Linked DNA regions of Schizosaccharomyces pombe. The gene in region 3 interacts genetically with the main gene of each other region. Each region holds a gene or a part of one and is shown on either strand. Other genes may lie near its edges.

Evidence for each region. A genetic interaction does not mean that the proteins touch.
Region 1: of rad1 (region 3) and chk1, a mutation in one rescues a mutant of the other (synthetic rescue), as found in Schizosaccharomyces pombe (2 studies listed by BioGRID, with this or other methods).
Region 2: mutations in rad1 (region 3) and ura5 together harm fitness more than expected from each alone (negative genetic interaction), as found in Schizosaccharomyces pombe (2 studies listed by BioGRID).

Annotation. Positions count from the first base shown.
Region 1 is NC_003421.2:1,057,794-1,064,963, reverse strand, and holds chk1 (protein kinase Chk1), read right to left. Parts: upstream 5,169-7,170; 5' UTR 4,945-5,168; coding exon 4,877-4,944; intron 4,832-4,876; coding exon 4,590-4,831; exon of another isoform or gene 4,544-4,589; coding exon 4,115-4,543; exon of another isoform or gene 4,077-4,114; coding exon 3,869-4,076; exon of another isoform or gene 3,823-3,868; coding exon 3,633-3,822; intron 3,588-3,632; coding exon 3,291-3,587; exon of another isoform or gene 3,246-3,290; coding exon 3,189-3,245; 3' UTR 2,980-3,188; coding exon of another isoform or gene 769-2,979; 3' UTR 521-768; downstream 1-520. Other genes in the region: protein Meu27, read left to right, coding at 769-2,979; ubiquitin-conjugating enzyme E2-C Ubc11, read left to right, coding at 5,227-5,321, 5,370-5,397, 5,448-5,537, 5,707-5,942, 5,993-6,074; gid1 (putative Ran GTPase binding protein), read left to right, coding at 6,775-7,039, 7,084-7,170.
Region 2 is NC_003423.3:1,229,296-1,232,878, reverse strand, and holds ura5 (orotate phosphoribosyltransferase Ura5), read right to left. Parts: upstream 1,837-3,583; 5' UTR 1,801-1,836; coding exon 1,153-1,800; 3' UTR 521-1,152; downstream 1-520. Other genes in the region: acetylglutamate synthase Arg6, read right to left, coding at 2,086-3,583. UniProt on the Schizosaccharomyces pombe protein: Catalyzes the transfer of a ribosyl phosphate group from 5-phosphoribose 1-diphosphate to orotate, leading to the formation of orotidine monophosphate (OMP).
Region 3 is NC_003424.3:4,976,543-4,980,818, forward strand, and holds rad1 (checkpoint clamp complex protein Rad1), read left to right. Parts: upstream 1-2,035; 5' UTR 2,036-2,076; coding exon 2,077-2,212; exon of another isoform or gene 2,213-2,338; coding exon 2,339-2,579; exon of another isoform or gene 2,580-2,622; coding exon 2,623-3,217; 3' UTR 3,218-3,596; downstream 3,597-4,276. Other genes in the region: SPOM_SPAC1952.06C (uncharacterized protein), read right to left, coding at 1-898; SPOM_SPAC1952.08C (pyridoxamine 5'-phosphate oxidase), read right to left, coding at 3,597-3,944, 4,020-4,244. UniProt on the Schizosaccharomyces pombe protein: Recombinational reparation of DNA damages induced by UV and gamma radiation.

The DNA of each region.
Region 1 (7,170 bases), on a different chromosome or scaffold from region 3:
AAACACTTTCTATTTTCTGAAATTTTTACTTCAGAAAGATATTTTCGGGGGTATTCATGAATCAATAACTTTTGACAACATAAATACAATATAATTCGATCACTAAAAAATAACTTCTGTTTATTTACAGTTGCTAGTATTCCACTCTTTTTCGTTTGTTTATTTACACATTATTTTCCTTTAACTCAGAATTGCGTTAAATGATTCTTTTCGAATGTATAATTGCAGCAATGTTGATTTGTTTATTATTTTTGTTTACAACATTATACTTGGTTGTCTTTAGTAAATCTTGCCTCCTTATTGGTTACAAGTCAAACATCCATTGTAAATAGTGAGTAATTGGTGTTGTTTATTTAGGCTTAGTTCAAAGGCTTAGCTAAGGATATTATTACTATTCAGTTAATCTAAATCCTTTGTTATTTGAGCTATTTATCCAGGATGCAAATGGTTAGCGAAAGCTTTTATTTTTAAATGATCATCTTTTAGTAATATTAAATGTTTACTTAACACTTTTTTAAGCAAATGTTAGGTGAGCATCAAATTATCATTCGATGTTTGTTTATTGTGAGGGATTTCATAAATTATTAGTTATGATAAAACAATGTGTTAATATAAACGAAATGAATTGTTTTTTAATATAAATAACCCAAGGTTGAACATGTTTTACCCAACCTTTGTATACACTTCAAGAGATTGAACACGATCTCTAATTACTGAGTTATCCAACTGGCAATCACTCAAGCCTCAAAAGAGCCAAGTAACTTCGTAATGAACAGTAAAATTGCTTATCCAGAGATTAAAATATCAGGTGCCTTTCGTCCTGATAAAATACAGGAAAAGGGAAAAAGTAACCGATGTGATACTCACTGCTCTGGTAGCTCTTGGACAAGTTTTAAATCAAAGATCCTAAAAATTTGCGCTCCTCTCTGCTGTATGGGTTCTGATAACGATGAAAGCATGGCAGAAATGCCATTAGAACCCCAAGTTGAGCCAAAATCAATAGAGAACAATTATACTTTAAAAAAAAAAAATGAAGAAGGCTTCTTAAGTCAACAGGAAAATAAGTCTTCAAACCAAAATCCTTCAAAGGCTAATAACCTTTTCGACAAGCTCGGCGTAAGCAAGCCAATAACATTCATAGCTTGTATACTGCAATTGGGCGGCACCTCTTTTATGGAATCAGAACTCCAGACGAAACTTTCAACTATTAATAGCTCGCCGTTTAAAAGTTTATCCCAATACTGGAATGCTGCATACAATAAAAAGGAATCAATATCATCTTCAACGAATAGTAACATCAAATTACATTTGGCAGCTCGTAAATACCAAACAAAACCTGAAAAATTTAACGAAAATTCTTCCATTAGTCAGGTTACATCCGCAATAAAAGCAACAAAGGCATTTTCGCATTTAACTCAACCGAAGAGGGCACTATTGAAAGAAAGCAATACGGGAGATAAAGATATATTTAAGCCTCGGTATCCACAGCTTCTAAGCTGTAGATTTACAACCTTGAGCAAATTGGCGCCAATTAATAATTCCAAATCAGCACCTAAAGGTACCCACAAACCGAACCACTCAGAAAATGCTGAATTAAAAGATATAAAACAGAGCTCTGAGCTTTCTGACTTATCACTATCTTCACAGATTTTATATCCCGAATCCACGACTTTAAGTGAAATATCGCCGATATATGATTCTGAATTAGCAATTGAAAATATACTCGAATCTAAGTGCTTTGAAAATGAACAAGCCATAATAGAAGGAGTAAAAGATTTTACCGAATTTCCCGACCTAGAAGAAACACAGATTATATATTCCGACCTCATCGCTTCCAGTGAAGTATCGCCAATATATGATTCTGAATTGAAATATGAAAGTGTACTCGAATCCAAAAGCTCTAGAAACGAACAGGCTACAATAAAAGAAAAAAAAGATAATGAAAGGGTCCTCGACTTGTCACAGCAATGCACAAAGTTTCTTTTCAGTGACCAAAAGGTTATTACCCCAAGCTTTTGCAAATTTGCCCAAGTATCAGACATGTGCTCTACTGAAATTCCTTGGGTAAACTTCTTTTGTGATAACCTAGATATATGTATCGAAGATGTTCAATTCAAGAGTAAAGCCTTTTTTCCACCTACAGTAACTATTACCATCTTTGAGCACGAAGATAAAAACTTGATGAATGTCTTCGATACTAAAAATGGAACATCAAAAACATTAGTGAAACCTCAAATAACTAATAGCTGCCTTGAAAATATGCTATCACTTGTAAACAAGAACAGCTGTATTAAAAGGCTTCACTTAAAGTTGTCTAAAGGGATAATGGACATCAAGGTATTAACTCATCAGCTAATGCTATATGATCTTTATCCTCCTGCTCACCAAACATATCTATGGAAAGCATTAGAACGACTAGTGAATGAAAAGGTGAGTTTAGGAGAACTAACACCTGTTCACAAAGTAGCAGCCGAAAAGAGAATAGGAGACATCCGGATGCATTTAATTGAATCTTCGGATATATACGTTGTTACTGAAAATCATCGCTGGCTACATATCGTGTGTGAGGGCTTTAACTGTTTCTTAGAGCTTCCCGAAGTACTTCACGGAAAGAAGTTTTTAAAAGTAGATGAGGCTACAAGAGAAGACATGTTAATGTCTGCAGAGACTCCAGACGATATTTTATGGATAACTACATTGATAAGTACTGGTTCATCGATGTCACATTTTCCTTTGCATGCTTACCTGGAAGCCAAAGAGAGACAAGAATTCACAAAAAAGAACCTTTTACTATTTTGTAAAGAAGATGAGTTTTTATACTCCGACCAAGAAAATGAAGACCTTTTAGAATCGTTTGAAAGAGTTATTTCAGAAGAGTTATCCCTTTTAAAATCAAATGAGCCGTCAGATATCTCACTAAAAAAGAGAAAAAGAAGAAAGAATTGTGAGAAAAGAATATTGGGTACAATGATGTATTAAACGGCATGGCCAGTCGGAAGAACTATCCTTATGCTAATAATATATCTTCAGCATTCGCAACCATTGATATTTGCTTGACAAAGCGTTAATAATCCTATTCCCTAGGATATCATTTGTACTACCACAAAATTGAAAATAAATTCACAACGAAGTCAAACAACAGGTTTCTTTTACAAACGAACTGGCACGACCTTTCAAAAGATGTGCAATTAATTTTGTGAAACATCTGTAAGAACAATCGGCTTCCCTATTGAACTGACAACGTTCTTTCACATGGATTAGTATATGAAATCCCTATGATAAAGACATACTTTAAAAAATTTTCTCCATTCAAGAGGATCCCCATTACGCTTTATAAAGTTTATAAGCTCTAAGTTATGGCCTAAATTAGTTAGTTCAATAACACCTTGCAAGAGACATTTCCGTTTATCATGTAAATTAACATAAAGGATGGTCTGATTTCGAACATATTTCATAGTCACTGAGATTGCAAGTAGTCGTAGACTGTCATAAAGATGATCTATAATGGTTTCTCTCGACGCCCTAGAATAAAACCTAGTGAGTCTTTCAGGAGGACAAATTTCGTAGAAATTCTTAGCCTTTTTGGCCTTTTTCATATAGTTAGAAAAAATTTAGGTTTAAATAAATAATACCAATCTTTTAATAAAACCTTCATTCTCACAAAACTGACTCAATGAGGGGTCTTTTTCAAGGATTTCAGTAACGTCAATATTTTTATTAAGTTGTACTGGCTGGGATAAGGCGCCATAAACTTCTACACGATCCAACTCCTTTTGGTCATTTTTTTTAAAAGCTGGCTGTGTCATTGAAAAACCGCTATCGCTAATTGAAAGAGTTAGAAATATGAAACAACTGTGCAAGATCTTACTTTTGAGATGCTCTAGATGAGGCAAGACGTGGTTTATCTAAATCAATACGAAGTTTCAACATGAGCCTTGATGCCAATGCTACAGGATCGGCACAATTCCCATTTTTAGTTCGAAATGGTGTACTTGAGGTAAGCCATGGGTGCTGTACAACATGTTTGACAGAGTAGCGCTTAAATGGATCACTTCGAAGCATTCCGGTGATAATCGCTGATCATTAGTTTAAAGGAATTTCAGTCAGGACTTACAATAGGCTCCTGGAGACAACAAGTTCCATGGGTGGTAAGACGGGCGTTCACATTGTTTTTTATAAAGCAAGTAGTCACCAGTGTTGCTAATTGCTTCATCCCAAGGTGTGTTGCCTAATAACAAAGCAAAAAGAATTATACCGCAGGACCAGACATCAACTTTTGAACCATCATACTGCTGTGTAATTTCTGGAGCAGCGTATGGTGGACTACCCACTGGACTATTCAAAAGCCTACTTTTACCTTTATAGGAAAATAAAGATGCAAAGCCGAAGTCTGAAATCTTTAAGTTACCATTGTAATCTAAAAGGATGTTCTCAGGTTTCAAGTCTCGATGCGCGACACCTTTAGAGTGCATGAAGGAAATACCTTCCATAAGTTGAGCAAAATAAAACTGAGCGACGTCCTCATCAATACCTACATCAGGCTCTAAATTGTAAGTCCGTTAGTAAAAACGAAAGGTTCATGCACCCACCTATTTTGTCAAATAAGTCACCACCTTGAGCAAATTCAAGTACTACCCATCTCCATTGGGGATTTTCTGCTGTATTATAAAAATGAATGATATTTTTATGTCCATTGCATAGTTTGTGAAGTTGTATTTCACTAGCCATCCTTCTAGCCCATACCCCTGCATTCATACAACTAGTAGCATGTTTTTTATTGACAAATTTGACAGCATATATTTTAGCATTATCATCGTAACATAAACGGACGCTTGCTTAAGTTAGTATATAGTATTTTTCAAATCAAAATTCATACGAAGCAAAAGCCCCAGTACCTATTTCTCTACCAATATGGTAAGGAAAGTTATCTAATTTTTGAGCCATTCTTTGGTGTAAAGGGAAAGAAGATTATAATATAACACAAGCATATGTTGCAAATTTTGGCATGTGTATTATTTACAGTCTTAACATCATCAAAGACTGGAAAAGATTAAATTAAGGTAATTTTTAAATGAGTTTTAAATCTATATAATGATATAAAATTGGACTATAATTTGATATCCGGTTTTCGTTTACTTGTGTACATTAGCACATGTTGTGTTGTGTTTATAACTTACTCTCCTACCACCACGTACTCATTGAGAAACTACAGTAACAACTTGAGGAATGGATTCTGATATGCAAAACCAGAACCCTCATACTAATTCTAAAAACTCTTCTTCTGCTGGCATGGCTGTTGACGGTCATAGCGTTACAAAACGGTAAAAAATAAACAGTTTTTAGGAAAAAAGTCTCTAATGCATTTGTAGATTGAGAAGCGAATTAATGAGTTTAATGGTTTGTAATAAGCTTTTTTACTTTGTTATTAACTAGGGTTTTATGACTAGATGTCCAATACTCCTGGAATTAGTGCGTTTCCAGATTCTGATTCTAACCTGCTACATTGGGCTGGCACAATTACCGGCCCAAGCGATACGGTATGACTTTTATTTTGAAAGCTTAATATTTAAAGTATATGAATAATGCTTGGTGTGCTTACTTGTAGCTGCACTTTAATGGAAAATTAATACACATCTTTGTCATTACATTTTCATAACTGTCTACTCTTCTTTCTTCTTTTTCATACGACTAACGTAACGAAAATAGTACTATGAAGGATTGAAATTTAAAATTTCAATGTCATTTCCAGCTAATTACCCATATTCCCCTCCAACTATCATTTTTACTTCACCAATGTGGCACCCCAATGTCGATATGAGTGGAAACATATGTTTAGACATTTTAAAAGATAAATGGTCAGCAGTCTATAACGTACAGACAATTTTGTTATCTCTACAAAGTCTGCTGGGTGAGCCAAACAATGCTTCTCCCTTGAATGCTCAGTATGTTGAAAATATCTCATTTACCTTTTTTGATTATTAACAATTCTTAGAGCTGCAGAATTGTGGAGTAAAGACCCTATCGAGTACAAACGTCTTTTAATGCAGAGATATAAAGAAATCGATGAAATTTAGTTAGGCCGGTCTATTTCATACTCATTTTCATTTCTGTTTAGTCATATGGATTTTCTTTTCCTATTCAATGCTTGAAAAAATGTCTTTAGTTAAACTTTCTTCATTGATAATGGAAGTTGAAATTATTTCATCTCATCGATTAAGCAATTCCTTCATGCAATGCCACAACCTCCTGAAAACCACCGAATGGTTTTTTAAGGACCGTCTATCATTATTTAGTTCCAGAAGTTGAAGTTGTTATTATGATGCTCGATTAAAGCTATTCTTGTTTAATGCATTCCGTTAATGCAGTCGTTTTTTTAGCTTTCCGTTAGATTATAATACTATTTTATTATTATTGATTCTCAATGTCATTGTGTTATGTATTATCGCAAGACAAGTATCAATGTTATGTTGTGCCTGAATTTTTTTCTGATTAGTAATAGGACTGTATATACAGCCTAATATTTGTATTTCTAATTTTGAGCCTTTAATCCTTATGAAGCCGTATAGTGAAGTATCTTTTCAGTCTCAGAGCATTTTATAGAGTTGCTGAAATTTACACGTCATTTAAAAATTTAAGAGTTTTACCAATTATTATTACAAAAGATTTGTATTTAATTACAAAAGAAAAACTGATTAGAAAATTGAACATTTAAACTGATAGCTGAATAAGCTACTAAAACTGGCTGTTTATATGCTACCAAGAGCATACCTGCGAATGACTAGTACACCAAAGAATCTTGAAAAACAGCCGATTAACTTCGACAATCTCCCCTTGTATTTACAAGGAACCAATTACGGAGAAAATGTGCTTAGAAGTGACCCACGATGGCTGAAATGGGAGAAGTATTTACGAGAGTTTGACATGACAAGGGAGGGCAATGTAACAAATACGCCGAAAGCCATTCCATCTTCATGGAATCCCAACGATAAGTCAGATTCATTAGAATTGATGAATAACAACATGGGGGTTTATTTCTTTGGTTCGTTGTATTAATTATAATGGTTTATAACTAATCTTTAATAGGTCCTGAAGCCGGCACTGAACATGATGCGGCGTCTGTAAAAGCTGATCATGCAATTCCATCAAACACTTCTATCTACTATTATGAAA
Region 2 (3,583 bases), on a different chromosome or scaffold from region 3:
ACAGAAACCTTTCGAAACTTTCCAGATCACGATTTGTATAATTTAAATCAAAAAGCTGTAGATTTGGGTTTATCGACTACGGAGCCGATTTAGTCCGGATTTTTTCAACAGCGAGATCTCAGAAAAATCGAAAAACACTGCTTCTTACTCACCAAAAAAATCCCTAAAATCACAGTAAAGTGCTTCAGGAAATGCGGATCCTTTTTTTGATAAAAAGGAAATTTGCTTGCTTTTTTAAGATCTCACACAAACAGAACTAAATCTTTCACCCTCTCTTATGGTGAGTTAGTGGTAAACGATAAATACTTGAAGGTTACATATTAGTAACTCAATTATTGTACCATTCGATTCCACTATGTTAAACCAATTGTATTACATAAATGATAAAGAATTTCATTGTTCAACTCGAGTTTTTCTAATAAACCATTTTTATTTATAGACTGCAGTGACTACTTATTCAAATTCACATTGAATATGAGAATAAAAACATTCCAAAATTTCTTAACATTTTCTTGTCATAATAAAAAGTTAATCACCAGGCTTCTGTTTAAAGGTTTTACCATTATTTAATATTTGGTATTTCAAACACAGAGCATAAATACCCGTCGCAGAATTGAAAAATAAAATCCTAAATTTTTTATAATTGCCCATTATATGCGTCTTTCGAACGTAAATAATCATCACTAAAAACCAAATCCTACAAATTTTTACAAAAATAATACACAAATACCATTTTGTGAAACATTAATTATCCCTCAACTCAATATTTTGGTAGCTTCATTCCTAACTGTCATCTTGGAAAGATTCGAATAACACAAAAGAAGAAACAAACACAAAAAAAACAGATTCACGGAACTAATCAAAAGATAGATGGATATGTGCAAAACAAAAGCTTAACAAGTAAACCAATTTCCTTCGTCTATTATAGAGAAATTTTTGAATACCGCTAAATGCAATCGCTTTATAGAAAATTCCTTCTAATATGAGTTGTATCTATCACCACAAATATACAGATAAAAAAATTCTATAACATATGTAAATACCAACTAACTTCACTCTCTTTAAAAAAGCAAAGCTAAAAACCAAAAAAGATACTTATCCAATTATTCTCTTTCCTCCTTCCAAATTTTTAAAAGAAACATTACCATAAGCTCATTTGGCTTGGTACTGCTGTCTGTAAGCATCCATTGCCTTTGATTCAGCTGCAGTTAAGTCTGATTTGGTAAAGTCAACAATGTCGTCCAAAGTAAGGATGGAGGAAACGGGTAAGTTAAGCTCCTTCTTCAATCTACCAATGGTACTTTCGTTTACTTCGGGGTCCAGTCGCTCTTGGCGGTCAAGCAAAAGGACGATACCAGCCAATTTTACGTGCTTAGGTTCTAAGAAGGAAATTGCTTCACGAATGGCAGTTCCAGCGGTAATAACATCATCCAAAAGTAAAACCTTTTTACCTTCCATTTCGGCGCCTACAAGGTTACCTCCTTCACCATGGGACTTGGCCTCTTTGCGGTTATAGGCAAATCCATAGCTCTTTCCAGTTTTTTCATAAAGTTTGACGGCCGTTATAGCAGCCAAAGAGATACCCTTATAAGCAGGACCAAATATGACATCAAAATCAACGTTCATAGCGATAATAGTCTCGGCATAGGCTTCTGCAAGAGCGCATAAATCGGCACCATGAGTGAAATTACCAGAATTGAAGAAGTATGGAGATTTTCTGCCTGATTTTAAGGTGAAAGTTCCAAACTTCAAAACATTATGTTCTAAGGCACGACGCAACAACTCAAGTTTATAAGACATGTTTACTACTAGTTTTGTTGATAAACGTTGATACTCACAAAAGAAAAAAGCTAGTATCACCTTTTCTAAGCTCTACATGGGGGTTATGTGGGGGAATAAACAAAAATCATAACTAAAGAAAAATGCAAGTTTGTAGGCAAACTACTCAATCTATAATCTAATGTGCAAAAGAGAATTAATGTCCTATCAAAATGGACTTTTTTCCTTTTATTAAAAAGTTTGACAAGTGCTTTTGAAGAAGCGAAATAATCTTGTCTCTGATAAAGTGCAATCGTTAACTTCCACTCAATTCAACCATGTTGGCTGAATTTTATCAATAACGCTCATATACTGGTTCACTCGATCCAAATTTCTGACATGTGAGTCTCCAGTCCAGAAAAGTTTCCAAGGTGTTTTGCTTGACTTTAAGGAGCCTACACTTCTTTCAAAGTACCATTTATTGACTGGATTAGTCAGGCGAGAGCGCCATATCAACTCTTTGGGAAATAAATCAGTCATAACATTAAACATAACATCAGATATTGCTGCTGAACCCTGGGCTCCTTGTGAGACGGCAAGCTTATCAAGATAAGGGACCTTTTCATTCGTTGTTCCATCTGGTTGTTCATAAGTTACAATGGCTGTCCCTAAATAGTCCCCTGCAATAATGACTGCAGCTAGCGAATTCTTCAACCTATCTAAATATGCGTCCATATCAAGCGTTCGCTTAAAGGAGTCATTAATTAAAACCCAAAGCCTTTCCCACGAAACGGAGCCATCAGTTAGACATTTCGGACCTAGGAATGTATATACCGGTACACCGCTACGCAAAACAGTTGTTTTCGTAATAGGAGATCGATCGCGCGGCAAGGAACATGAAATAATAGAGCGATCCGTCAAAACATTGTGAATTAACGGATTTTTGTCTAAGACAGGATTTGTAAGCATAGCATCCTCAGGCGTAGTGATTAGAGCAGAGGCATCATCCGGTAACATTTTCAAACAGCGTCTTACCAAAATCAAATTTTTTCTATGATAAGGTGGAAGTGTTTTCGCTAACTCGTCAAACTCTTGAGCCAGATTGATGAGAACATGACTAGAACCAGTTTGTCGTTTAGAACATGGCATGCCACCATTTTTATCAAGAATGACGATTCGGTCTACCCAAAACCCAAAGTTTGGCTTGTGTAACGAGTAAGTTAAACCAGCAAGAACCTCATTACCATCAATTGGAACCTCAATGACGTTGGGCATTAAAATCGAGCTTGGCACTATGACCGTGTAAAGTGAAGACAGCGCTTGAAAAATACCTTGCACATTCTCAACACTAGGGCCTTCAGGGCCCAATTGACATACAGAGGAGTAGCTAGGACGGGTTAACACTCCCGCTTTCGAAAAAATTTCCGAAACTCGAATGACTCTATTTTGCTGTTGCTGTAGCTCCTCAAAGATTGAAAGTTTACGTTTTTTCGCTACGACCGTACCATTCTCCAAATATTTAAAAGGAGATGTCATGCCAATTGGATTGGAAGTGGGAACAATCACTGATTGAATCCCTAAACGTGCCAGGCTATTTATACTTCGACCAATTCCATATAGGGTATTATCACTTAAAGAATCCACATCATCAATTTTGGTAATAGAAATTCTGTTTAAAAACGAACTCGATATTGGCTGAGCGAAGGATTTCTTGTTGGGAGAGCCATCCTTAAGCGAAGAATGTTTTTGCAAAAACCCTTTCGTAGACCTACGAGATTGGACTGATTTCAATATCCAAATAAGGTCTTGTGACAATGAAGGTTTT
Region 3 (4,276 bases):
TATAAGGACTGATCCGGCGCAACAAAAGATCAATCCCATTCAAGTTGCACACTTTCAATTTAGCTTCTTTTGAATTAGCGAGAATGATAGCTAAAATTTCAACAGCGTACTGCAAATTAGTTGATATAGAAGTTTCATCAACAGACGATCTACTCAGTAACCATTCTACCAATGTTGTGTTTTCAACTATTATTGAACAAATGCTATTGTCCACAGATAATAAATTCTCCATAAGAGAGAGCACACAATATACTCCATGTCGGTCTTCCTCATTAGATTCGTCAAACCTTTTGATTGTATTTGAAAGCAAAGGAAGCAAACCAGAATCTATAAGGGAAGTAAATAAGGAGTTTAATGCGTCTGGGTCAACATCCTCGTCAGTCAGTTCTATCAATAGCTCCAATACCGTAATAGTAATATCCGCATTTTCATGGTTCATTAATTCTAAAAACGTGGAAACACAATCTAATTTAAGGAAAATGGGTATGAGGATAGGATACTCTGAAAGCACATTGAAGCTTCGAATTTCCAGATCAAGATCTGCCTCTGATTCTATAAACCTTTGAGGAGAAGTAGAATACTTGATGCGTAACTCCTGATTATTATTAATTGTTTTTTCAAGTCGTACTACCATGCGCTTCAATTCAGTAGGAGTCAATGAAGCAGGTTCTTCCTGGGCTTCCTGTTCGTCTAAAAAGTCTAAAACGGTTTTTTCACTCTTTTTAAGCCCACTTCCAAAAAATCTACCTCCTTCCTCGTCAAATTCTTCATTCTCCTCATCGCTATTCTCTTCAGCGAGTCTTCTGCGACTACTAGCTGGCTCCAAAGAGTCTGCTTCCTCAGGGTTCCTTTTCTTATTTGTTTCCTCGGTATTTTTAAAAATTGAATCTACATCCATTTAGAATAATGTATTTTTTATGCGCCAGTTTCCTTTTCAAATTGAATATATGAAAACCGTCTGATACAAAATAAATAATTTTGACAAACTTATATTTTATAGCCGCATCAAGTAAAATAAAAGCCTTATGAAAAGACTATCGTGCAATTCAATTATAACGCCTGACTCGTTCCTAAAATTCCTCTCGTTTACCAGTTCAAGTAAAAGCTAGGTAAGATGTAGGCATGTACAAAGTGTATCAAAAGTGAAAACCAGAATCTAAGCTTGGAAAAAAATAATAACAGCAAGTAAATTCCCCTCTGTTTTATAAATATTATACAACTCTTATATCCAAGAAAGGAGAGATTGGAAGAAGGATAAAAAGTGTTTATTTAAGAGAAGAGAAGCTAAATAAAGTGCATGCAGTTAACTCGAAATTTTTTAGGTTGATTAAATAAGGAAGAAATTAGATCCATCTTGTATTACCTTTCTTTTAATTGTAGCAATGACTTTTCAAAAGAGGGTGTAAAAATGACATCCTAACTGTATATATGATAAAATTACAATTATGGATTTTCTAAAGCAATTTAAATTTAGCTATTATCACTAAAACAGTTCGGCAATTTGCAATATTTGTCTAATAAATGAACCATTTGTTTCATAAACAATCAAATTCATTAAGCTACAAATCCTTAATTGTATCTTTAGTTTTGAGTCAATCAACTTACTGGGATCCTATAGCTTTTTTGAATATCATTTGGTAAATTCAAATATGGCTCTTAAAACTTGTATTTAATTTGATAAAATTTCTGTGTCGAGAGATAAATAAATAAAGACAGTTAGAAGTAGATGCTATTCAATTAATAAATAAAATACTCGTCTATTAAGCTTTACGGCTTTCCAAAAATTTATATATCAGAATAAAATATTTCACAATTTTTTTTTTTTTAAAAAAGAAAAAGCAATCTCAATTTTCATTTCCTTTAGTAATCTGCATACCTTTTAAAATTGTGCACCTTTTCGAATTTTACTAAATAACTTCTAACTTGAACTGTCTTTCTTATTCTGCGTTTGGTCTTGTAATCAAGTGTCAAGTCCTTTAATATCAGAAGGAAAAATTATCAATTTATAAGATTAGCATTTACGGGTGTTCAAGTTGTAGCATATAACCAATTTTTTATTGTTGGACGTAAATTCGCATGTTTCAAGCAGAAACAGTATGCTTAAAGCAGATTCAGTCAACATTACGATGCATTGATTTTTCAAAGGAATGTACTATCGAAATCACAAGTCGTGGACTACGGTTTGCAGTGGAGGAATCGCAGTCTTTGCAGGGTAAGACAAGTCGAGTCTCACATCTATGATCGTTAAAAAATTTGAAGCTACTTAATAAAGTTTCATATATTAATGCGATTCTTGAAATGCATTCACTTTTTCTTTATTGTTCACTCACACATTAAGCTCACGCCTTTCTTGATAAGTCGTTGTTTCAAACGTTTAATTTTCAGGGTGATTCAGATGGGGATACATATATGTTCCAGACGATGATTTCACCTCTTTTACAATCATTATCAATTTATACAGATGGAAAAGAACGGATTTCAACTAGTGCCTGGGATCAACCCACTGTAAACATAATGCACAAACGAGGCGTTATCTGCAAAGTACAGTATAATGGACCCGGCTGTCCATTTATATGGGAGTAAGGATTTTATCATTAACATTCTGTACTGACAAAAATAAAGAGTAGAGGAAATGGCTGGTTATGCTACGGCTTGTGAACTGTTGACTATGGAATGTGAGGACGACGTTGACATCAATAGACTTGCAAGCACATTGTGCACGAAGATCATTATGAAAAGTAACTGGCTATATGATGCCTTGGTGGAATTAGACAATAACATGGGCGAAAATTTAATTATTCATACATCATCCCAAAAATCAACCTTCTTATTGAGATGTGTAGGGGCATTATCCACTACGGAAATAGAATATCCAAACGAGAAAAGTGTTTTAGAGTCTTTTGAAACTGATTCTGAAAACACTTATTCCTACCGCTTCTCATTAATAAGACATGCGCTGAAAGCATTACAAGTGGGTTCTAAAGTAAACCTACGTATTGATGAAAATGGAACTTTGAGCATTCAAATCATGCTTGTCGGTCAAGAAGGGCTTTGTACGTTTGTAGACTTTTGTATTGTTCCTTTGGACCTTGTAAGTGAAGATGAGGAGGAGGATGAAGAAGAAGAACCAGCAGAATCTAATCAGTCGGACAATAACGTTTTACGAAACGATCCGAATTATCGAGGAGATGCGGAGACCGAGGATGAGGATAGCTAAATGATAATTTTAGCACTCAGCACTTTAGTGTTTCCGATAACTTCAAAAAAAGAAAAAGGTACAATTGATACTGAACAACTTATGATAATACACTTATTCAACGAATCATGATTTATTTCCCTGCTTTTTGTTTGGTCTTATTTAGGTAGCTTAAAGTCACACCGTTTCCTCACTTTTTCTATGCTTATTTAACACACGTATAAACAAGACGCTTTCCACTAGGCTGTCTAGCAAAGCATGTAGCCAACAAAATTCCCATGTATCATACACACGATTATACATTATGGTTAGATCTACGAAGCATTCAAAAATTCTTCAAACATTATTGATTTTTAAAAAATAGAAAATGCAAAGTGACACTCATAAAACATTTGTTTACTCAAAATGGAGTCTCATCTCCTCTTGCATTCCATTTTTGGACGTTGTTGAGTCTCTGATCACAAATTCTCGCACTTTCCAACTTTATCTTGATAATTCTCATATCCTCACCCTCCACGTATTGTTTCGTATTACCCTTGTCATTAGTGTTTAAATGCTTTTCTCTAAAGAATTCCTCTTCTTTGCTATTCTTTGGAAGAACGGTAGCAAGGCCATTCAAGGTCACTGATGTATTCGAGAACTGAGCCTGATTCATTTTATAAAGTAAGGTGTACAATGAGGAGGCATCAGGATCTGTTTCTTGACGATTAGTGGTCCAGTCATGAACTAGTAATGATACTCGAGGATTCTAGTCATCATGTTAGAAAAAAGAAAATACCAATCAGGATCAAGGATAAGTTAAACTTTTAAATATGATACATACCGAACTGATGTTAAAATATTTTTTACTGTTTTCTCCTGTTGACAAAATAATGCAATCCTCCACTTCGTAAGGGGCAGCGCTTCCTGCAGGTAAATAGGTAAATGTCATCAAAGAAGAGTGAGGCTGATCATGAAAGCAAGTAGCTAGTTGAATATATTTGGATGAGGACAAGCATCTCTTGATTTGGCTGGGGAACTCATGAGATGAATCGACTTTTGAGGCCATATTTACTTTCAGGTTATTGTGGTGCGACAAAG